Linked DNA regions of Saccharomyces cerevisiae S288C. Changing the gene in region 3 together with the main gene of any one other region gives a genetic interaction. Each region holds a gene or a part of one and is shown on either strand. Other genes may lie near its edges. The genes, in order: SDH6, MPC3 and SDH1.

The links.
Region 1: of SDH1 (region 3) and SDH6, changing one suppresses a phenotype caused by changing the other (phenotypic suppression), as found in Saccharomyces cerevisiae (one study listed by BioGRID).
Region 2: of SDH1 (region 3) and MPC3, changing one enhances a phenotype caused by changing the other (phenotypic enhancement), as found in Saccharomyces cerevisiae (one study listed by BioGRID).

What each region holds. Positions count from the first base shown.
Region 1 is NC_001136.10:1,229,998-1,237,803, forward strand, and holds SDH6 (Sdh6p), read right to left. Parts: upstream 3,521-7,806; coding exon 3,281-3,520; downstream 1-3,280. Other genes in the region: GTPase-activating protein RGA2, read left to right, coding at 170-3,199; phenylpyruvate decarboxylase ARO10, read left to right, coding at 4,221-6,128; RNA-binding protein YRA1, read left to right, coding at 6,561-6,845, 7,612-7,806. UniProt on the Saccharomyces cerevisiae protein: Plays an essential role in the assembly of succinate dehydrogenase (SDH), an enzyme complex (also referred to as respiratory complex II) that is a component of both the tricarboxylic acid (TCA) cycle and the mitochondrial electron transport chain, and which couples the oxidation of succinate to fumarate with the reduction of ubiquinone (coenzyme Q) to ubiquinol.
Region 2 is NC_001139.9:973,469-981,631, reverse strand, and holds MPC3 (mitochondrial pyruvate carrier), read right to left. Parts: upstream 4,297-8,163; coding exon 3,856-4,296; downstream 1-3,855. Other genes in the region: SDA1 (Sda1p), read left to right, coding at 1-1,867; LSC2 (succinate--CoA ligase (GDP-forming) subunit beta), read left to right, coding at 2,313-3,596; YAP1802 (Yap1802p), read left to right, coding at 5,051-6,757; YGR240C-A (uncharacterized protein), read left to right, coding at 6,855-7,055; PFK1 (6-phosphofructokinase subunit alpha), read left to right, coding at 7,898-8,163. UniProt on the Saccharomyces cerevisiae protein: Mediates the uptake of pyruvate into mitochondria.
Region 3 is NC_001143.9:165,939-174,980, reverse strand, and holds SDH1 (succinate dehydrogenase flavoprotein subunit SDH1), read left to right. Parts: upstream 1-3,851; coding exon 3,852-5,774; downstream 5,775-9,042. Other genes in the region: proteasome regulatory particle base subunit RPT1, read right to left, coding at 1-768; AVT3 (Avt3p), read right to left, coding at 1,120-3,198; DBR1 (RNA lariat debranching enzyme), read left to right, coding at 6,152-7,369; MCR1 (cytochrome-b5 reductase), read right to left, coding at 7,529-8,437.

The DNA.
Region 1 (7,806 bases), on a different chromosome or scaffold from region 3:
AATGTTAGCCAGAAGATCGATCAGTCGACTCCCCTATTGATTAACATTTCATCTTTGCATACTTGGCGTTTCTAATCCTTATCTTTTATTACCAAGAGTTCATTGTACTTTTAATAAAGTGAAATATAACGTAGCATCTCAAGAGCAAGGAGATTTTGATGAAAAAAATATGTCAGCTGACCCTATTAATGACCAATCGTCTTTATGTGTGAGGTGCAATAAATCAATCGCGTCTAGCCAGGTATACGAATTAGAAAGCAAAAAATGGCATGACCAGTGCTTTACATGCTACAAATGTGACAAAAAATTGAACGCAGATTCAGACTTTTTGGTTCTGGATATAGGTACATTAATTTGTTACGACTGCTCAGATAAATGTACAAATTGTGGCGATAAAATAGACGACACAGCAATTATACTGCCTTCCTCAAATGAGGCCTATTGTTCCAATTGTTTCAGATGCTGTCGGTGCAGCAACCGTATAAAGAACTTAAAGTATGCAAAGACAAAACGAGGACTATGTTGTATGGATTGTCACGAGAAATTGTTGAGAAAAAAACAACTATTACTGGAAAATCAAACAAAAAATTCATCGAAAGAAGATTTTCCCATAAAACTTCCTGAAAGATCAGTCAAAAGGCCCTTGTCACCCACCAGAATAAATGGTAAGTCAGATGTCAGTACAAACAACACCGCAATAAGTAAGAACCTTGTAAGCTCGAATGAGGATCAACAGCTCACTCCACAAGTTTTAGTATCACAAGAAAGAGATGAATCATCGTTGAATGACAATAATGATAATGATAACAGCAAGGACAGGGAGGAAACATCTTCTCACGCAAGGACGGTTTCTATTGACGACATTCTGAACTCTACTTTGGAACACGATAGTAATAGCATTGAAGAGCAGAGTTTGGTGGATAATGAGGACTACATCAACAAAATGGGTGAAGACGTAACCTATAGGCTATTAAAACCACAAAGAGCAAATCGAGATTCCATAGTGGTAAAGGATCCGAGGATCCCAAATTCGAACTCGAACGCGAATAGATTCTTTTCAATTTATGATAAAGAAGAGACAGACAAAGATGATACAGACAACAAAGAGAATGAAATCATCGTCAACACACCCAGAAATAGCACTGATAAAATTACAAGTCCTTTGAACAGCCCTATGGCTGTACAAATGAACGAAGAGGTCGAACCTCCGCATGGACTGGCATTAACTTTATCAGAAGCTACGAAAGAAAATAACAAATCATCTCAAGGTATTCAAACGTCAACTTCCAAATCTATGAATCATGTCTCCCCGATTACAAGAACCGATACCGTAGAAATGAAAACATCAACCTCTTCATCGACATTACGTTTGTCTGATAATGGAAGTTTCAGCAGGCCTCAAACAGCAGATAACTTATTGCCGCATAAAAAAGTAGCACCCTCTCCAAACAAAAAACTTTCAAGATCGTTTTCTTTGAAGTCCAAAAATTTTGTTCACAACCTGAAAAGTAAAACTTCGGAAATGCTGGACCCAAAGCATCCCCATCACAGCACTTCTATACAGGAATCAGACACTCATTCTGGCTGGGGTGTTTCCTCTACTCATACAAATATAAGAAAATCAAAAGCCAAAAAAAATCCTGTATCAAGAGGCCAAAGTGACAGTACAATATACAATACTCTACCACAACATGGAAATTTTACAGTACCGGAGTTTAATCACAAAAAAGCGCAAAGCAGCCTTGGCAGTATATCCAAAAAGCAAAATTCTAATGATACAGCCACTAATAGACGCATAAATGGTTCATTTACAAGTTCAAGCTCGGGGCATCATATAGCAATGTTCCGTACGCCGCCTTTGGAATCAGGGCCATTATTTAAGAGGCCATCTCTGTCATCTGAGTCCGCACACCACAGATCTTCTAGCTTACAGACGTCTAGATCCACTAATGCATTGTTGGAAGACGATTCCACGAAAGTGGATGCTACTGATGAAAGCGCTACAAGCTTGGAAAAGGACTTTTACTTTACTGAGTTGACTTTAAGGAAGTTAAAATTAGATGTGAGGGAACTAGAAGGTACGAAGAAAAAATTATTACAAGATGTTGAAAATCTAAGATTAGCGAAAGAGAGGCTGTTAAATGATGTTGACAATTTAACAAGAGAAAAGGATAAGCAATCTGCATCTTCCCGGGAGTCCTTAGAACAAAAAGAAAACATTGCAACATCAATCACTGTAAAGTCACCAAGTTCAAATTCCGACAGAAAAGGGAGCATATCTAATGCCAGTCCTAAACCACGCTTCTGGAAAATATTTTCAAGTGCTAAGGATCACCAGGTAGGCGATCTAGAATCACAGCAACGTTCGCCAAATTCATCTTCAGGCGGAACGACAAATATAGCACAGAAAGAAATATCATCACCGAAATTAATTCGAGTACACGATGAGCTTCCTTCTCCAGGCAAAGTACCACTGTCGCCAAGTCCAAAGAGATTAGATTATACGCCTGATGGTTCCCATTTATATGGATCTTCGCTACAAGCTCGATGTGCGTATGAAAAAAGTACTGTTCCAATAATTATCAGGTGCTGCATTGATCGCATTGAAAAAGATGATATAGGCCTGAACATGGAAGGCTTATACAGAAAGTCGGGCTCACAGACTTTGGTTGAGGAGATCGAAAATGAATTCGCTCAGAATAATTCGTTGCATAGTGATACATTAAGTCCCAAACTGAATGCTTTACTGAATCAAGATATTCATGCAGTGGCTAGCGTATTAAAACGATATTTGAGAAAACTACCAGATCCAGTTTTATCATTTTCCATATACGATGCCTTGATAGATCTAGTTAGAAATAACCAACTAATTGAGAGGCTACCATTAAACAACGACAAGTTTTTGGATTCACCACAAAAAGTGACTATTTATGAAATGGTGCTCAAAAGCCTACTTGAAATTTTCAAAATTTTACCCGTAGAGCATCAGGAAGTATTGAAAGTATTGGCAGCACATATCGGCAAAGTTCGAAGGTGCAGTGAAAGAAATTTAATGAACTTACATAACTTGTCGTTGGTCTTTGCACCGAGTCTTATCCACGATTTTGACGGCGAGAAAGATATTGTGGACATGAAGGAGAGGAATTATATCGTGGAATTTATACTTGGAAACTATAGAGACATATTTAAGCAAGCATAATACAGATTTGCAAAAGTTAAATAAACATAGGATAGATTAAATAAGAAATCATATGAAAAAAGAATAAAGTAAGAAAATAGTTCAATGTATATTCGTCAGTTCAGGGTGTGAAAAGGTGGCAATTTTTTTGTTTCCGACCCGTAACAAGTGTTCAATGGTGGTGAAGTCTTTTCTTGGCAAATTTCTATACTTCCCAAATTCTTCATGAATATAATTCACAAAATTAACTTGGTTTTCCTTTGGTTTTGTATGAGCCGTTCGTATGGAAGCCCTATACAGGTGTAAGACTTCTTTTTGTAACCCACTTAATCTCTTAGGCATGCTCTTGGTATTGCGTCTCCTCTTCTTCTTGTGTGTTTAAGCTACATTATCTTTGTTAAGAATAATTTGGCGAACCCCTTTTTTTCTTCGGCTTTGCAAGGTTAATTAATTAACATCTACCAGTTTTACTACATTTTAGATTGGTTCGTCCACCGAAATTTAAAAAAGCAGGATTGAAAGCGTACAACAACGTCTTAGCGAAAAAGATAATCCAAAATTCGATGCTTGTACACCTCATGTAGCTTCCTTATTAACATTTGGTAGTAGGCTTAGGCTATTTTTTGAAAAAGCCGTCATATATTACTTTGAGCCTTTGCGAATCCTCTCCAAAGTGTCGGTTACCTACCGGGAGGGATAACCGCGGATAGCCGTCATTTACCGAAAATTGCCGAGGTCATGCTGAGCATTTGTCGTACTTTTGTGCGGCGGAGCTTTGATACCTTCGGTAAGTGTCGGTATGTAATAGGTTAGTGGCATCTTATTTATTGTGTTGAGTAAAGTTTAAGATATAAACTGGGCTAGTTTGCATCGTCACTACAGCGGCAGCTCACTTTCATTTTTTTTCTGCGTTTATTAATACTACATAAAATCTGATATAAAACATATTTAACTGATCAACCCTCTCAACTTGATACTCAAAACAAGTTGACGCGACTTCTGTAAAGTTTATTTACAAGATAACAAAGAAACTCCCTTAAGCATGGCACCTGTTACAATTGAAAAGTTCGTAAATCAAGAAGAACGACACCTTGTTTCCAACCGATCAGCAACAATTCCGTTTGGTGAATACATATTTAAAAGATTGTTGTCCATCGATACGAAATCAGTTTTCGGTGTTCCTGGTGACTTCAACTTATCTCTATTAGAATATCTCTATTCACCTAGTGTTGAATCAGCTGGCCTAAGATGGGTCGGCACGTGTAATGAACTGAACGCCGCTTATGCGGCCGACGGATATTCCCGTTACTCTAATAAGATTGGCTGTTTAATAACCACGTATGGCGTTGGTGAATTAAGCGCCTTGAACGGTATAGCCGGTTCGTTCGCTGAAAATGTCAAAGTTTTGCACATTGTTGGTGTGGCCAAGTCCATAGATTCGCGTTCAAGTAACTTTAGTGATCGGAACCTACATCATTTGGTCCCACAGCTACATGATTCAAATTTTAAAGGGCCAAATCATAAAGTATATCATGATATGGTAAAAGATAGAGTCGCTTGCTCGGTAGCCTACTTGGAGGATATTGAAACTGCATGTGACCAAGTCGATAATGTTATCCGCGATATTTACAAGTATTCTAAACCTGGTTATATTTTTGTTCCTGCAGATTTTGCGGATATGTCTGTTACATGTGATAATTTGGTTAATGTTCCACGTATATCTCAACAAGATTGTATAGTATACCCTTCTGAAAACCAATTGTCTGACATAATCAACAAGATTACTAGTTGGATATATTCCAGTAAAACACCTGCGATCCTTGGAGACGTACTGACTGATAGGTATGGTGTGAGTAACTTTTTGAACAAGCTTATCTGCAAAACTGGGATTTGGAATTTTTCCACTGTTATGGGAAAATCTGTAATTGATGAGTCAAACCCAACTTATATGGGTCAATATAATGGTAAAGAAGGTTTAAAACAAGTCTATGAACATTTTGAACTGTGCGACTTGGTCTTGCATTTTGGAGTCGACATCAATGAAATTAATAATGGGCATTATACTTTTACTTATAAACCAAATGCTAAAATCATTCAATTTCATCCGAATTATATTCGCCTTGTGGACACTAGGCAGGGCAATGAGCAAATGTTCAAAGGAATCAATTTTGCCCCTATTTTAAAAGAACTATACAAGCGCATTGACGTTTCTAAACTTTCTTTGCAATATGATTCAAATGTAACTCAATATACGAACGAAACAATGCGGTTAGAAGATCCTACCAATGGACAATCAAGCATTATTACACAAGTTCACTTACAAAAGACGATGCCTAAATTTTTGAACCCTGGTGATGTTGTCGTTTGTGAAACAGGCTCTTTTCAATTCTCTGTTCGTGATTTCGCGTTTCCTTCGCAATTAAAATATATATCGCAAGGATTTTTCCTTTCCATTGGCATGGCCCTTCCTGCCGCCCTAGGTGTTGGAATTGCCATGCAAGACCACTCAAACGCTCACATCAATGGTGGCAACGTAAAAGAGGACTATAAGCCAAGATTAATTTTGTTTGAAGGTGACGGTGCAGCACAGATGACAATCCAAGAACTGAGCACCATTCTGAAGTGCAATATTCCACTAGAAGTTATCATTTGGAACAATAACGGCTACACTATTGAAAGAGCCATCATGGGCCCTACCAGGTCGTATAACGACGTTATGTCTTGGAAATGGACCAAACTATTTGAAGCATTCGGAGACTTCGACGGAAAGTATACTAATAGCACTCTCATTCAATGTCCCTCTAAATTAGCACTGAAATTGGAGGAGCTTAAGAATTCAAACAAAAGAAGCGGGATAGAACTTTTAGAAGTCAAATTAGGCGAATTGGATTTCCCCGAACAGCTAAAGTGCATGGTTGAAGCAGCGGCACTTAAAAGAAATAAAAAATAGAAACTTGTGGGCGCAATTATAAAACACTGCTACCAATTGTTCGTTTTCTGTTCATTAACACATAAAAAACCCTTATGTAACTATATTTACAAAGTAAATACGTATATTAAAGCTATTTTACCACTACCACAGAGTTCTTTGTCCAGTTGCTAGTATTTTTTTTTTCGCGACGAGGCAGGGGCGGGGAGACGTGTTGTTTTTCCACGGCTTTCGGCTCACCACTTGAAGAACTATAAAAGGCCGCCAAATTTATCCTTTTTCACTTCTTCCGTTCGCTTTTTTCTGTCATTCCTATCGTGTGTTTAGTAGTAGGTTTTTTTGTTAGAAGAAGTTTTATCCGAAAACTATCGAAGACAAATAGATAAAAAAATCTCCCTCGTTCTATTTGAAACTTTAAGAAATCCATATTAAGAAAATACCTACATCTGCTAAATGTCTGCTAACTTAGATAAATCCTTAGACGAAATCATTGGCTCTAACAAAGCAGGAAGTAATAGAGCCCGTGTCGGTGGTACTCGTGGTAACGGTCCAAGAAGAGTTGGTAAGCAAGTTGGTAGCCAACGTAGGAGCCTTCCAAACAGAAGAGGCCCTATCAGAAAAAATACTAGGGCACCTCCAAACGCAGTCGCTAGAGTTGCCAAGCTCTTGGACACCACTAGAGAGGTCAAGGTCAACGTCGAAGGTTTGCCAAGGGACATTAAGCAGGATGCTGTAAGAGTATGTTAATACGTGAAATGAGAGCTATTTGTTTAGTTACTCGCATCGTCTCGTGTGGATACGAGAAATATTCTTTGTAAGGAAGGATATGGCACACGCTTTTGATCAAGAATTCTCTTTTTAGAGATGAAGAAAGAGTCCGAAATACTTCGCTAGAGAAAATACAAAAAGAGTATCGTTTTCATAAGCCAACCATACCAATTTTTTTCAATACTTCAAATCATGGCCTATAAGGTTGGAATTACCAGCTACCACTGAGAATGGGTTTGTTCTTATTGGCTGGGTTAACTCAAATCAATCTGACTATCTGCTAATCTGTCAATCTTACATTTTTAAGCTGGCGTATTGTGTCGCCTCGACCGTGATAGTTAGTTCCTATTTTTAATAAGCGTATCATCCAATACTGAAGTTGTGGAAGGATCAATTAATTTTGTATCCTTTCAAGAGGGAGTAGCTTTCAGTTTCGAATGGCACCATTTTCAAAAAATAGCTATGGGAAACATGTCTTTCATGAACGTTCGAAAAGATATGAGTGCATCGCTTCATTTTTTTATTATGATAGTTACAAAAATATTTGATTTGAGACACCTAATGAAACCAAAGAGGAACTCACCCATCGTGGTACATGTTTATTTGAGGGTTTATTTTTCCTACGCAATGGTATACTTTTAATACTCTCAACTCCTTGATTGTTTGTGTATTGTCCCTTCCTTCTTTGATTTTATATCATAGAGATATATGACTAACTTTTTTTTTTTTATTATAGGAATTTTTTGCATCTCAAGTAGGTGGTGTTCAAAGAGTTTTGTTGAGTTATAACGAAAGGGGCCAATCTACTGGTATGGCTAACATCACATTCAAAAACGGTGAATTGGCCAGAAGGGCTGTTGAAAGATTTAACGGCTCTCCAATCGATGGAGGCAGATCAAGATTGAGACTTAACCTAATCGTTGATCCAAAC
Region 2 (8,163 bases), on a different chromosome or scaffold from region 3:
TGAGGAATTAATTCAAAGCTTATTTCCTTTATTGGTTGCTTACTCTTCCCATGGTAATTCACTCGGCGTTAATTCACACGCCAAGGAATTGAGGAAAATCATTTATACAAATTTAATTTCTTTATTAAAAAGTTGTAATACTAATGGTAAAAATCAAAAATTGAACAAATCTACGCAGGCCGTTTGCTTTAATTTGTTAGATCAACCAGATTCCCAGGGAATCTGGGCCACAAAATTAACCAGAGAACTTTGGAGACGTGGTATTTGGGATGATTCAAGAACAGTAGAAATTATGACCCAAGCAGCATTACATCAGGATGTTAAGATTGTCATGTCTGGTGTGATGTTTTTTTTGGATGCTGACAGAGAACGTGAAGAAAATTTTGAAGAAAATTCCGAGGATGAGGATGGGTTTGATTTAGATGCATTAAGGCATAAGATGCAAGTCAATAAAAAAACGGGTAGACGTGGTAAGAAGCTGGAGAATGCCATAAAAACTGTGAAGAAGAAGAAGAAGAACGGACCGGGTGCTCCTCAAGGGTATTTAAACTTCAGTGCTATCCACCTTTTGAGAGATCCACAAGGATTTGCCGAAAAATTGTTTAAGGAACATCTTTCAGGCAAAACGAAAAACAAATTTGACATGGAACAAAAAATATCTTTGATGCAGCTGTTATCAAGGTTGATTGGTACCCATAAGTTAATTGTTTTAGGAATTTATACTTTTTTTTTAAAGTACTTAACTCCGAAACAAAGAGATGTTACAAGAATTATGTCCGCATGTGCCCAAGCATGTCATGATCTTGTCCCTCCTGAAGTTATAAATGTCATGGTGAGAAAGATTGCAGACGAGTTTGTATCAGACGGTGTTGCCAATGAAGTCGCTGCTGCAGGCATTAATACCATTAGAGAAATATGCTCTCGTGCACCTTTGGCTATCGATGAGATTCTACTACAGGATCTGGTAGAATATAAGGGGTCTAAAGCTAAAGGTGTCAATATGGCTGCCAAGTCATTGATAGCGTTGTATAGAGACGTGGCACCAGAAATGCTAAAGAAGAAGGATCGTGGTAAGAATGCCGCCATGGAAGTACAAGAAGCCAAGAAAGGAGGTAAAGATTCAAAAAGACCGCAATTTGGTGCCGACAACAGTGTTCAAGGGATTGCTGGTATCGAACTGTTAGCCAAATGGAAGAAAGAACATGGTGAAGAGAGTGAAAATGAAGACGCTGATGCCAACTGGGAAGTAGATGTCGATAGCGAAGAAGACGATGTCGACGGTGAGTGGGTCACCATGGATAGTGATAAAGAATATGACGTTGATATGGAAGATAGTGACGATGAAAAAGACAATGCTAAGGGCAAGGAATCAGATTCCGATTTGGAACTAAGCGATGATGACGATGAAAAAGAAGTGAAGGATGAGCAAGAAGATGCAGATATAGATCCCGAAGCTGCCTTCCGTGAAATTGCTTCTACACGTATTTTAACTCCGGCAGATTTCGCTAAACTACAAGAATTGCGTAATGAGGAAAGCGTTGCTAAAATAATGGGTATCCACAAACAAGACAAGCGTGAAGAGTTAGTTGATGCAAGTACACTAACAGGCCCTATCAAATACAAACAGTCTCGTGAGGAAAGATTACAAAAGGTGTTGGAAGGTCGTGAAGGTAGAGACAAATTTGGTAGTAGACGCGGTAAGCGTGACAACATGCGTTCTACTACCAACAGAGAAAAAGAAAGAAGGAAGAACTTTGTTATGTCTATTCACAAGAGATCTGTTAGAGGTAAACAAAAAATGTCACTACGAGACAAGCAAAAAGTGTTACGTGCACACATCACCAAACAAAAGAAGAAGGGGTATTAGACGACATCGTAGCCATATTAATATATACATACATATACACAGATACATTCATCTCTCCAACTGTATGAGGACTTCTCTACCTTGAATGGAACACCAAAGCCAGGTAGATACTAAAAAAAACTCTTTTTATGTCTTGGTACAGAGAAAAATGCTCCAACTGGTATCGATTATGTGTTCATCGGGAATTCTCGGCTTTTCCCCGCAGCGGCGGAGTGAGTATTCTAAAAGTTGGTTGGCCTTTCAATTGCCGCGTAGTCAACATCTTTGAGGTTTTATATAAGATCGACGTTTTCCTTATCAGCACTTTGACGTTTTCTCTCGAAAAATAACAGTGACTATAGAGCGATAGTCCAGTTTTTTTGTAACTGACTTTTAGGTAGTTAGGATTAATAAGGATTGAGTCAATACAATCGAAAAAAATACTGAAGCATTGCAACTGAACAAAATGTACTCAAGAAAATCCTTATCCCTAATTTCAAAGTGTGGGCAATTAAGCAGGCTAAACGCGCAAGCTGCTTTACAAGCAAGGAGACACTTGTCAATTCATGAATACAGGTCAGCTCAGTTATTGAGGGAATACGGTATTGGTACTCCAGAAGGATTTCCAGCGTTCACTCCCGAAGAGGCTTTCGAAGCAGCCAAGAAATTAAACACTAACAAACTGGTCATCAAGGCGCAGGCATTGACCGGAGGTAGAGGTAAAGGTCACTTCGACACCGGTTACAAAAGCGGTGTTCACATGATCGAAAGTCCTCAGCAGGCAGAGGATGTTGCAAAAGAAATGCTCAATCATAACCTGATTACTAAACAGACGGGAATAGCGGGGAAGCCAGTATCTGCTGTATATATAGTGAAAAGAGTAGATACAAAGCATGAAGCTTATTTATCTATTCTAATGGACAGACAAACCAAGAAACCGATGATCATTGCGTCCAGTCAAGGTGGTATGAATATTGAAGAGGTGGCTGAGAGAACCCCAGATGCTATAAAGAAATTTTCAATTGAAACTTCAAAGGGATTGAGCCCACAAATGGCCAAGGATGTTGCCAAGAGTCTCGGTTTCAGTCCCGATGCACAAGACGAGGCAGCAAAAGCTGTTTCCAATTTGTATAAAATATTCATGGAAAGGGATGCTACACAAGTGGAGATTAACCCTTTGAGTGAAATTGAACATGATCCAACCCACAAAATCATGTGTACAGACGCCAAATTTGGGTTTGATGATAACGCATCATTCAGACAGGAAAAGATATATTCCTGGAGGGACTTATCACAAGAAGATCCTGATGAAGTTAAGGCAAAGAAGTATGATTTGAATTTTGTTAAGTTGAAGGGTAACATTGGATGTTTAGTCAATGGTGCTGGTTTGGCTATGGCTACTATGGATGTCATCAAATTAAATGGAGGCGATCCTGCGAACTTTTTGGATTGTGGTGGTGGTGCCACCCCTGAGACCATCAAACAAGGTTTCGAATTGATCTTATCCAATAAGAACGTAGATGCAATTTTCGTCAATATTTTCGGCGGTATCGTAAGATGTGACTATGTTGCCCTGGGGCTGGTAGAAGCCGCCAGAGAACTAGAAGTTAGGGTCCCCATTGTGGCACGTTTGCAAGGTACCAAAGTAGAAGAAGGCCGCGACATTATCAATAAGTCAGGCGTGAAGATTTATTCGTTTGATGAATTAGATCCTGCTGCTAAAAAGGTCGTTGAATTGACCCAAAATTAAGCTTCTCGAGAAAAACAAAAGAGTTAATAATAAAGTATATATGCTTTTTTACTATTAATAAAGTTTCTTATTTTCCCTACATGTATACATACATATAAATATACTCTTTTGGAAAAAATTTCTTTTTTTTTTTTTTAATTTTTTTATATTTTTCCATCTTTTGATGTAATATAGAGGTTATATAATGAAAGAATATATAAGAGGTCATAAAAAATCATTAAAAAAATGCGAGTTCAGGAACATATTATCGTTTACGTAATCAGTGCGTTATTGGCGGATTAGTACCGATCACACCTTTGTTCATCGATGTGGATGCAGTTTGCTTTGCTGCGACGGCTGCAGGAGTCTCCCCTTTTATTATGTAGTGAATAACCTGTTTAAAAGAATCACCGTTCCGTATCCTAAAGTTAGCAATTCTTGTTAGATGGTAGCCTGCAGTGCAACCCAGGAAAAAATTGACGGAAGCTAACAGATAGTTCTTGGGCTTGATGACAAACGACCAACGCGTCCAAATCAGTGCCGTCGCTAATAAAGATAAATTTTGTGCTCCTGATACCTTCTCAACAGGCCTCTTAATATCATTTAGCCCTGCGAAGACCAGCCCCCACTTCAAAGTTGGGGCCCAGAAGTGTACTGTTTTAGGGCCTGTTTCACTATTCCAAAATCTTCTAAAGGCAAAATTAAAAGCTGATGCTGACATTAAAAATATAGGTTTGTGTTTCTATGTGTCTTGAATGCTTATGCGTATAGTCTTAAAGACTGATTGTATTCTTTTTTTTTATATGAAGTATTTCCGCCGTAATGAAAGGGAAAAGAAAATTTTCTCCAATACTCCAATTGCAACGCACCATATTATCCGGGAGAATACACGCACGCAGCCGCATATATATATATGATGGCCTTAGTTTTGTTTGAGCCTTTCGGTTTTGCGTGACCAAACCAGGGAGCGGCTCGCTTGACCCGCCCACGGAATGACGTAAAGCCGTTAATAGCCGATTGGCGGGAGAAATAAAAGCGGGGCACTCCCAAGATGAGGGGTAATCGGGGTAATAATATCCAATCAAGGAGGAAAAGGGCCAAATGTTACCCGACTATCCAAACTGCAGGGTAACCTTTATTTTTTCTTTTCTTTTACTCCTACCATTTTTTTTTTCAGATTTTTCCCAGTATGGCTTTGTTTTCATTTTGCTTTGGTGGAGGGATAGATTAAGTTTGCAGCTGCGTAGAAAAGTTTCTTTTCTACATTCGAGGAAAAAGTCGACTTATTAGTCTGGTTAACTTGTTATTAGGGCTTCTTGCTTGAGTTATAATTTTAGAAGGAGAAAAAATAAATCTGTAGCAGGAGTACCAATTTGCTACGCTTGCTAACATCTACGAGAGTAACAATATCAAGCATACAAGCGCGACTGTCTCGGCTACCCCTATAATAGATATAGAGGCGTGTTTGTGAAACAATGTCTTCATTATATACTAAGTTGGTTAAAGGGGCGACCAAAATAAAGATGGCCCCTCCAAAGCAAAAATATGTGGACCCTATTCTCTCGGGCACTTCGAGCGCAAGAGGATTGCAAGAGATTACCCACGCATTGGATATAAGGTTGTCTGATACAGCCTGGACCATTGTTTATAAGGCATTGATTGTGTTGCATCTGATGATACAACAAGGCGAAAAAGATGTCACGCTAAGGCACTATTCCCATAATTTGGATGTTTTCCAATTGAGAAAGATTTCGCATACTACTAAGTGGTCTTCCAATGATATGAGGGCTTTGCAGAGATACGACGAATACCTAAAAACACGTTGTGAAGAGTATGGCAGGCTAGGTATGGATCACCTACGAGACAATTACTCCTCGCTAAAGCTGGGCAGTAAGAACCAGCTTTCAATGGATGAAGAGCTAGATCATGTTGAATCATTGGAAATTCAAATTAATGCCTTGATAAGGAATAAATACTCTGTTTCAGATTTAGAAAACCATTTGTTATTGTATGCATTCCAATTGTTAGTACAAGATTTACTAGGTCTGTACAATGCTCTTAATGAAGGTGTCATTACACTTTTAGAATCATTCTTCGAATTGTCCATTGAGCACGCAAAAAGAACACTGGATCTCTATAAGGATTTCGTGGATATGACAGAATATGTTGTTAGATACCTAAAAATAGGAAAAGCTGTCGGTTTGAAAATCCCCGTTATCAAACATATTACTACAAAGTTAATTAACTCCCTTGAGGAGCATTTGAGAGAGGAAACAAAAAGACAAAGAGGTGAACCTTCTGAACCGCAGCAAGATAGAAAACCATCTACGGCCATTAGCTCTACCAGTAGTCACAATAACAACAGCAATGACAAGAATAAGTCTATAGCGCAGAAGAAACTGGAACAGATAAGGGAACAAAAAAGACTGCTGGAGCAACAATTACAAAACCAACAGTTGCTCATTTCCCCCACGGTCCCACAAGATGCTTACAACCCATTTGGATCACAACAGCAAGATTTAAATAATGACACCTTTTCATTCGAACCAACCCAGCCACAAATGACCGCTCAAGTCCCTCAACCAACTGCTAACCCCTTCTTGATACCGCAACAACAGCAACAGGCTTTACAGTTGACATCTGCGTCTACAATGCCACAACCAAGTGAGATACAGATTACTCCAAATTTGAATAATCAACAAACTGGGATGTATGCTTCTAACCTTCAATACACCCCAAATTTCACCGGCTCAGGGTTCGGCGGATACACGACCACCGAGAACAATGCAATTATGACCGGCACTTTAGATCCAACAAAAACGGGGTCTAACAACCCATTTTCGCTAGAAAATATTGCCAGAGAACAGCAACAACAAAATTTCCAAAACTCCCCAAATCCTTTTACCCTCCAACAAGCACAAACCACCCCGATTCTTGCTCATAGTCAAACAGGTAATCCATTTCAGGCTCAAAACGTGGTGACATCACCAATGGGCACATACATGACGAATCCCGTGGCCGGTCAACTTCAGTATGCCTCTACTGGTGCGCAGCAGCAACCACAAATGATGCAGGGTCAGCAAACAGGGTATGTTATGGTTCCCACTGCGTTTGTCCCCATCAATCAACAACAGCAACAACAGCAGCATCAGCAAGAAAATCCTAACTTAATAGATATATAGTGAGCGATAGATACTACAGTTTTTTGTTCTCAACAGGCCGTCCTTGCATATTATAAACTCTGATTTTTAGGTAATCCCTTCCACCTTTCTATATTTTATGATACTATCCAAACATGTAAATTTTACGTACCATACATATAACCTCATCTATAATTTTTACCCTGATCTAACTAACTTTGGCATGCCTGGTTCAATCTACGGGTTACAGTCATCGTTGAAAACGATGGAAAAACATGTCGAGATTCCTCAATCCATACACCATTATAGTCCGTTTTATCAGCTTCCACTAATTTTTTAAATCTCAGTTTCTTCTTGAAATTTAGCATCGTGCATGGGATAGCGGCTAGTAAAAAAGAAAATTAATATCTCATTAACAAAGTTATTGTACATAATCCGGTACAATATTCTTCAATGTACTCTCTAATATCGAGCACACTGGCAATATTCATGCACACATTCGCCTAATGCTGACGAATGCTTAATCAGTGCAATTACTGCCACCCTCTTGATATGTGGGCTAAATCCTTTAGGACCTGTAAAAAATGCAATCACGTTTTCACATTTTTTTTTTTCTTGCGGAATTGCGGAATTTCCCAGTTGGCAGCGTTATCCGATTTGAGATCGACTTGCATCAACCTTTGAAAAATATAAGGATGAGAAAGTGAAATCGGTTTTTTTTTTCCATTGTCGTCATCAACATGATTTTTTAAATAAATAAATACGATTTTTTATTTTTTTTCCCTTCTTTGTTTTTGTTTTGCTTATTCCCATCTTCATTATTAAATTCTTCCGCTCTTAATAAAGGAGTTTTTTTATTATCTTCTTGTGTAATCATCCTTTTTCTTTAATTTTCTTCCTTTTCTTTTTCTCTTTACTGGTTTTTTTACTTCTTTATTCTCAACCATCTAAAGAATATTATTGCTTTCTACCAATAAAATCTGTTAATTCTATTTGGATTGTCGTCTACTCAAGTCTCGCCTAGTAAATAAACGATAAACAAATTTGAAGTAAGAATAACAATATAGGGAGAGAAATTTTTCTATTTTTAATTTCGAAACAGGTACCAAAAAATCTAAGTTCACTTTAGCACTATTTGGGAAAGCTTTTATATAAAAAATCTGAAACAAAATCATATCAAAGATGCAATCTCAAGATTCATGCTACGGTGTTGCATTCAGATCTATCATCACAAATGATGAAGCTTTATTCAAGAAGACCATTCACTTTTATCACACTCTAGGATTTGCAACTGTGAAAGATTTCAACAAATTCAAACATGGTGAAAATAGCTTACTATCTTCAGGGACTTCCCAAGATTCCTTGAGAGAAGTTTGGTTAGAATCTTTCAAGTTGAGTGAGGTTGATGCTTCTGGGTTCCGTATACCACAACAAGAAGCTACTAACAA
Region 3 (9,042 bases):
CTTACCAGTACCAGGTGGCCCATATAATAAGATACCCTTTGGTGGATCAATACCAAGAGTAGCAAATCTTTCTGGAGATAATAAGGGCAGCTCGACAACTTCTCTCAGCTTTTCAATTTGGTCTTTACAGCCACCGACATCGCTATAAGTAACGTCAGGCTTTTCTTCAACGGTCATCATAGTAACTGATGGGTCAATCCTTGGAGGCAATGGAAGTTCAATATTATATTTCGACCTATCGACACCTACACGCATACCTTCTTCTATATCTGTTGGAGAAACACGTTCACCTAATCCGACGACAAATTTGGCAATTTGCTTAAGATTTATCACGTACTTGGCATCTTCATCGTCTTCGTCTGCATCAGTAGACTGTTGATTGCTATTACTATTGCTATTGCCGCTGTTATTATTATCTGTCGTAGTTTCGTCACTTTCACCATTCCCCTTAATGATCTTCGTGCAACGAGCGACTTGTAAGGGATGTTCTTCGCCCAGTCTCTGCCTATCACCCATAATATCCCATAGATGGGAGGGTGCTAACCCTGTATCGCTTTCTTTCACACCGGCCTTTTCTTTGATTCTCGCTTCAATGTCTTTTAAGTCATTCTCAGTTTGCTTTAATTTGGCTGCGTATGGAGCTGCACCGTATGATTTTAAGACTTGAATGTCACCTTCTGTTAAGGGTACGATCTTGTCATCATCAGGTTTTTTATCATCGTCTTCCAAAGGTGCCTTGTATTTTTCCCAGTCTTCTTTTGGTGGCATTCCGTATAGTTCCTAACTTCCTTGATTTATTACGATGGTTCAAAAAAATATCTCAATTGAATATTGCTTTGAATTCTCATCTCCTTGGAAAATACTGTATATACCCAGTTCTTTGTATAGTAAGCTGCATGCTAGTTTAGTTTTCGGGTGGCAAAATTCGGTAATCCTATTCACTATACCTTTTCCTCTCGTCCGGGTAAACTCAGCCATACCAAATTGACAAGGATAGTACATTTATGCTAATCATAATTAAAACAAGGTATGTGTGTTCCAGATGCATATAGATAACGAGTCATATATAAATATATATATATGTGTCTGTACATGATGTACTCGGTCAAAAATGGCGGATTACTGGCTCCACATTTTAATCGTCTGCCATGACGTGTAGGCCATGACAGCAACTCCAAATACTATGACGATTAAATCTAAAAGAAGCCTGGCTCTCGAGGTTCCAGATAAGATGGACGCCTTATAGTGCAACAATGGCGGGTATATGTAGATCAATGGGATACACGCGAAGGAGCCTACCAGTGATACAAATTTGTCCAAATCGTTGGCGCCTACCCAAGCGAGGATAGATGTCAGGACGACAATAGCGCAACGGAAATAGTTTTTCAACCATTTGACTTTCGGGTTGTATTTACCAGATGCATTTGAGGGAAAAGTCCAGTTTTCCAAAATACGTATCGCGGGAAATAGCTGCAACGGCGTGGATAACAAAATGGCTAATGCATACAGTAATTGAACAGTGAGAGTATAGGAAGTGTCCTGCGGAAAATTCAATAAAACAACAGTTTTCACGTCAGATCCAAAAGCGGCATAGCATAAGAGACCACATGATATGAAAATCACTGCCACGATACACATCACCGCGGACAACGATGGCCGGAAATGCTTCGGGTGTTTCATTGACTCCTGAATGGGGATAAGTAGGCCTATACCTTCAAAGGTGAATATGGCGGTACCGATGAACAACGACCAGTCCGCTTTATTGAACATAAGCATTGTATCGGATGCGACACCATTAACAGCAATATAATAAATGGAGTAAACGTAAACATAAACCAATCCCAGTAGAATAAATAGATCTGCTATTAACGCGGTCCCACTTAACTTGGCTATGTTTCTTGTCAAAGATAGTGGGACAAAGATGAGTACTTGTGCAAAGATATAGGTGGCTAGACTGATGCTGCCCGGTTTCAAATGGAAGAAATTTTCAGAAAAGACCTGCAAATTAGTTGCAGTGAAAACAGTGTATGCAGCAGAAAACCCGATTTGTGACAAGGCGATAGACGAAAGAATGGCAAATTTCATTTTGGGCCCATATAGTATACGACCCATGTCACCGTACCCATCTACGCCTACTTTGTCCTTGGTGGTAATCAATGATACGAAACATCCATAAGAAATGAGGGCACACGAGAGTAGACAAAGGGCGCTAAATCCCCAACCACCGTTATGGAAAGCCTTTGGTAGGAAAAGCACACCTGTCCCAACAAATGACTTTAACAAGAGCAGCACCGCCTTTACCGTAGATGATTTGTGAGGATGGCGCCCGTGTTCACGAGAAACTAGCTGGGTGCTTTCCGTTTCCAAAGCTTCCTCCTCTGGCTCCTCTTCAGTTTCTTCCTCCTCCTCCTCTTCTTCCGATAAATCTTCACCAGCGAAGTGGCCATACAAGGTCAAAAATTCAATAAAGTTCCTGGTGAAAAAATTCGGTATGGGCGCATCAACGTTATGTTTCCTGCGCTTCTGTATTATAAAAGATCTTCTGAATCCACCAGGAGCCCTGATTTCTTCGTGCGTCATCGGTGCGGGCGCCAGGCCTATTGCCGCTAGAGGATTCCCATTCGCCTCCGAGTTGTTGTTAAGGTGAGAGGAAGATGCTATAGAAGCGGCAGAAAAGCTCATAGACCTTTTACGATTCGAGAATGAGGGCGCTTGTGAAGGTATTGAGGTGGAAAGTGCAGGTTGACTTGGGTACTGATACTGCGATGGTGATGAAGGATGGTCGTTTGTCCACTTATACAGATCTCTTGTAATGTCTCCGCCTTGCAATTGTAGGCTGTTACTCGGGTTTCTTATCAAGTGGCGTGCCACGGCATCTACCACATGTGGCTCAGGGTTATTTATGCTCACTTCAAGCGTGCCATTGTTACAGGAAGTGTGCGACGCGTCGGGTACGCTAGCATGCACCGCTTCATTGTTCACAAGCAGCGGCGGCTTTTTTAGCAAACCACCTGTAGTTCCACTAGATTTTCTACTTCTGCTTCTACTTCTACTATTACCGTTGCTATTGCCACCGTTGCCGTCCGTTAAAGGTGAGCCAGACGCATGCGAGATTCCTGTACTGCCTCCGTTGTTATTTTTTTTGTTGTTGTTGCTCTGCGTTCTTCCAGAGCCACTTGAAACCTCTTTTCCATTCATATCCGCGATGCAATCCCTTATACGCTTCTTAATAAACTTTGCTTCCCACTCTTTCACTACTGACCATCGATCCTTCTTATTTCATAGCCTCACGAGCACAAATGATAATACGAGAAAAAGGCCCGACCGGGTAACCAACCCTTTTACTATCTCTCGCTCTACCTTTAGTAATAATGTCGTCTATATAAGGATTTACTCATACAGTAGTCCAAAATATACCTTTCCGTGCTAAAAGTAGCTCCCAAAAGTAGCGGAGGTGAGGATCATCCTCTATTGCCAGGTACCAAGCTCGCTGGAAAGTCGTTATGGAGTCACGGCTTTGAGGGCGGGGGTGGACCAATCACAGCGCAGAACGCGGCGCCGAGCAAGCGCTGGACCAAGGGATCCGGGCCTCTTCTATTGGTTGTTTGTTTGCTCAAACCCGTTATATATTCAGGCATCCTCGACTCTAACCTTTTGCCACGTCGAGGCGGCTTGAAGCTTAAATAGCACTAATAAACTAGTAGACACATTATAACTAACCAGTAGTATACTTTGCACTTTCGATATTCTTTTCACTAATCTCCTCCCCAACCCCTTATTGAAGATAAAAAGAAAGAAAGAAAGAAAGAAAAAAATCCAATTTCATAGTACGAAGAAGAACGAGAATAAAGATGCTATCGCTAAAAAAATCAGCGCTCTCCAAGTTGACTTTGCTCAGAAACACAAGAACATTTACATCGTCAGCTTTGGTGCGCCAAACGCAGGGCTCTGTAAACGGTTCCGCGTCCAGATCTGCAGACGGGAAGTACCACATAATAGATCACGAGTATGACTGTGTGGTAATCGGTGCCGGTGGTGCCGGCCTTAGAGCGGCCTTTGGTCTTGCCGAGGCGGGCTACAAGACTGCTTGTATATCCAAGCTTTTCCCCACCAGATCCCACACTGTTGCTGCTCAGGGTGGTATCAATGCCGCTCTGGGAAATATGCACAAGGATAACTGGAAATGGCATATGTACGATACTGTGAAAGGATCTGATTGGCTAGGTGACCAGGACTCCATCCATTACATGACCAGGGAAGCGCCCAAATCGATCATTGAACTGGAACACTATGGTGTTCCTTTTTCAAGAACTGAAAACGGTAAGATCTACCAAAGAGCCTTTGGTGGTCAGACCAAGGAGTACGGTAAGGGTGCTCAGGCCTATAGAACATGCGCTGTCGCAGACAGGACAGGACATGCTCTTTTACACACGCTTTATGGCCAAGCTTTAAGACATGACACACATTTCTTTATTGAGTACTTTGCCCTCGATCTGTTGACCCATAATGGCGAGGTCGTTGGTGTCATCGCTTATAATCAGGAAGACGGTACCATCCACAGATTCAGAGCACACAAGACCATTATTGCCACTGGTGGCTATGGTAGAGCATACTTCTCTTGTACCTCTGCTCACACATGTACGGGTGACGGTAATGCCATGGTTTCGCGTGCTGGTTTCCCCTTGCAAGATTTAGAGTTTGTTCAATTCCATCCTTCAGGTATATATGGGTCTGGTTGCTTAATCACTGAAGGTGCTCGTGGTGAAGGTGGTTTTTTGGTTAATTCTGAAGGTGAAAGATTCATGGAACGTTACGCTCCTACGGCCAAGGATCTAGCTTGTAGAGATGTCGTTTCCAGAGCAATCACCATGGAGATCAGAGAAGGCAGAGGTGTTGGTAAGAAAAAGGACCACATGTACTTACAATTGAGCCATCTACCTCCGGAAGTTCTAAAGGAAAGATTGCCAGGTATCTCTGAAACAGCAGCCATTTTTGCTGGTGTAGACGTCACCAAGGAACCTATTCCCATTATTCCTACCGTCCACTATAACATGGGTGGTATTCCCACGAAGTGGAATGGTGAGGCATTAACCATTGATGAAGAAACTGGCGAAGACAAGGTTATTCCCGGTTTAATGGCTTGTGGTGAAGCCGCTTGTGTTTCTGTCCATGGTGCCAATAGATTAGGTGCCAATTCCTTGTTGGATCTTGTTGTCTTTGGTCGTGCTGTTGCCCATACGGTTGCTGACACTTTACAGCCTGGGTTGCCACACAAACCACTACCTTCTGATTTGGGTAAAGAATCCATCGCAAACTTGGATAAACTAAGAAATGCTAATGGTTCAAGATCTACGGCAGAAATTAGAATGAATATGAAACAAACTATGCAAAAGGATGTTTCCGTCTTTAGAACACAATCATCTTTAGATGAAGGTGTTCGGAACATTACTGCAGTAGAGAAGACCTTTGATGATGTGAAGACGACCGATAGATCAATGATCTGGAATTCTGACTTGGTTGAAACTCTGGAGCTACAGAACTTATTAACCTGTGCCTCCCAAACAGCTGTTTCCGCTGCTAATAGAAAGGAATCCCGTGGTGCTCATGCAAGAGAGGATTATCCAAATAGAGATGACGAACATTGGATGAAGCATACATTATCCTGGCAAAAGGACGTCGCTGCCCCAGTGACTTTGAAATACAGAAGGGTTATCGATCACACTTTGGACGAAAAGGAATGTCCTTCCGTACCTCCAACTGTAAGAGCCTACTAATTTGAACCTCATTGTATTTTACGGAAAAGAATATCATACTCTTCTTTAATTGCACTTTTTTTGTGCGTTTGCACTTTTTTACCACTGACTCACTAATTTGTATATATACCTATTAATATACATTTACATAAAGTTTCTTCTTATACATACTCTATTTATTTAGTTATTTATTAACTTACTATTTATTTATTTATTTATTTATTTATTTATTACTTTCAATTTTTTATCGAGGCATTTCCTTAGTTCTCCAATTTTTTTTCTCATTAGCCAGATGTGTGTTTTTCTGGCCCTCACAAAAAATGAGCAGGAGAAAGTCATATGGCGAACGTAAATATGTAACTAAAAATTAAGATGGGCAGACATTTATCATTTTGCTTATGACTAAATTGCGAATTGCTGTACAAGGGTGCTGTCATGGTCAGCTAAACCAAATTTATAAAGAAGTGTCACGAATCCATGCGAAGACTCCCATCGATCTATTAATTATTCTTGGAGATTTTCAAAGTATTCGTGATGGTCAGGATTTTAAGTCAATAGCCATACCACCAAAATATCAAAGACTCGGTGATTTCATATCATACTACAATAATGAGATTGAAGCCCCAGTCCCTACTATTTTTATTGGCGGTAATCATGAATCGATGAGACATTTAATGCTTCTGCCACATGGTGGTTATGTAGCAAAGAACATTTTTTATATGGGATACTCTAACGTTATATGGTTTAAAGGCATAAGGATAGGTTCATTGAGCGGGATATGGAAAGAGTGGGATTTCAATAAGCAACGACCAGATTGGAATGACCTAGAAAATAACAATTGGAAAGCTAACATAAGAAATCTGTATCATGTAAGAATTTCTGATATTGCTCCTCTTTTTATGATCAAGCATCGTATTGATATTATGCTGAGCCACGATTGGCCCAATGGAGTCGTTTATCATGGCGATACTAAGCACTTGTTGAAGCTTAAGCCTTTTTTTGAGCAAGATATTAAAGAGGGAAAACTAGGCAGCCCAGTGACCTGGCAACTACTAAGAGATTTGCGGCCTCAATGGTGGTTGAGCGCCCATTTGCATGTCAGGTTCATGGCCTCCATTAAGCATAATAAAAGAAGCCACGAACCGCCTAATAAGTCAACTTCAAAGACAAAAAAAAACAATAATGAAATAGATTTGGATTTATCCAGTGACGAGGACGAAAGGTCTGGTATTATGAATTGCCAAGAAGAGAATGAGTATGATTCCAAATACGGCGAGACACGGTTCTTGGCGTTGGACAAGTGCCTGCCAAGAAGACGTTGGTTAGAAATTCTGGAAATAGAACCGGATACATCGCATGCTTCGTGGAAGGACGAGAATCACCGTATGTTCTGGGATCCTGAATTTATCAATAATTTGGTAATTTGTCAAAAAAATAAGAATCTCCTAAGCAATAAACCGTTTAATAGCGTCAATTGGATAGAACTGTCTCAATCTAATAGAGAGGAAGGAAGGGATATTGATTGGGAAAATTATGCCATTCCTGCATACACCTTAGATATTCAGAAAGATGAAGTACGACAAACTAAAGCATTTATCTCTAAATTCATGACTTGAGAGATATTTCTATTACGAATGCAGACGGAATTAGAGCTTAAAGCCAAGCCTTCTTGAGAGAATTTTTAGTCATACACATGAATATATATATATTTTTTATATATTTACTAATTTGAACGATCCGAAATTAAAAAAAATATCAATTACTTTCCTCCATGCTTAAAATTTGAAAACTTGGTCCTTGGAGTAGCCCAAATTGTTCAAGATACCGATCAATTCACCTTGGTCCTTAGGTGACTTCTTCTCACCTGAGTAAGCGTTCATAAATGGTGGGGGACCGCAGACAAACAAATGTGTGCTTTCCTTTGGACCTGGAACATGCTCCTGAATAAAATCTTTGGAGATGAAACTAATTTCACCATCAAAGTCTTGGTCATCTTGCTTGTCGTCAACAAAGTAAGTAACATTGAACTTGTCAGGATACTTTTCCTTCAACGCATCCAGTTCCTTCCTTAGTAAAATGTCCTGAGGAGTCTTGTTCCCATATAGCAAGTTAACTTTGGTCTTGTCGTTTGGGTTTTCAACTATATGATGAGCTAATTGGTACAGAGGGTTGATACCGGTACCGGCACCTAACAAGGTGATTGACTTGAACTGATTAGGTTGCCACTTCCATTTCATAATAGGACCCTTGAAAGAAACGGTGTCATTTGGTTTAAGACCAAATAAATGTGAGGTCATTTTACCACCTTCATAATGCTTGACGACCAGCTGGAAGTGACCCTTCTGGGAAAGATCACTCACAGGAGTGTATGGTCTCACCACATTGGATCCCTTTGGTGTGACAAATTTAGCAAACAGAGCAGATGCTAGGACCAACCCCATTTCTGAGTCTTCGGTAGGCAGCTTAAAAGTAAACCTTCTGGTGTCGTGGGATTCCTCCTCTATTTTAGATATTGGCAAGTCGATCCATTTGTCATCACCTTTGAACACTTTATTAGATTCATTGAAGACAAAGGAATGTTGGTTACGGTTTGCAAAATAGAATGCGGTAGCAGCTGCTATAGCAACTGTACCTAGAGCAATCGGTAATGCTTTTGAGTGAGATCTGGATAATCTGGAAAACATGTTTTTGACTTGGAATATTATTTTAACCTATATACGTTATACTATTGTTAGTTTGGCTGCTTCAAAACGTTAGTATTGAGGGAAAAGGTAAGAGTACTTAACACAAGCGGGCATTGCGAGCAAACTGCATTCTTATATACGTACCTCTCTCGACAAGACACCAATCAAGGGCCCTTATTTCTCTTCTTTTTTCAAACGGAGAAACACTCCGAGCGATAGTTCCTACGCTTGTTTGGTCTTAGACCTTTGAAGTTTGAATTGTCAGGGGTAACAAGTTCCTTATACGATATAGGCGTCATAATGAGGGGGATAGTTTAGCATTGCGTGGAGGGATACTGAAGGTCATCGCAAATGAACCTAATTCATTCACCTATTGTTACCAGCTTGCATACTAGAAATGGACTCTTATGATCGTCAAAAGGAGCACACACCCACACACGACTCCTTTGCGCTGTAAAGGGCAGAATAGGGAGTGATGTGATGTGATGCGATGTGATGGGTCTTGCAACGTGATCTAGTAGATATATATGTAAAGGTGTAAATAGGTATATAGGCGTCGGTGAAATTTTATTAGCAACACCAGTTCAATACGATCACTACCGTAT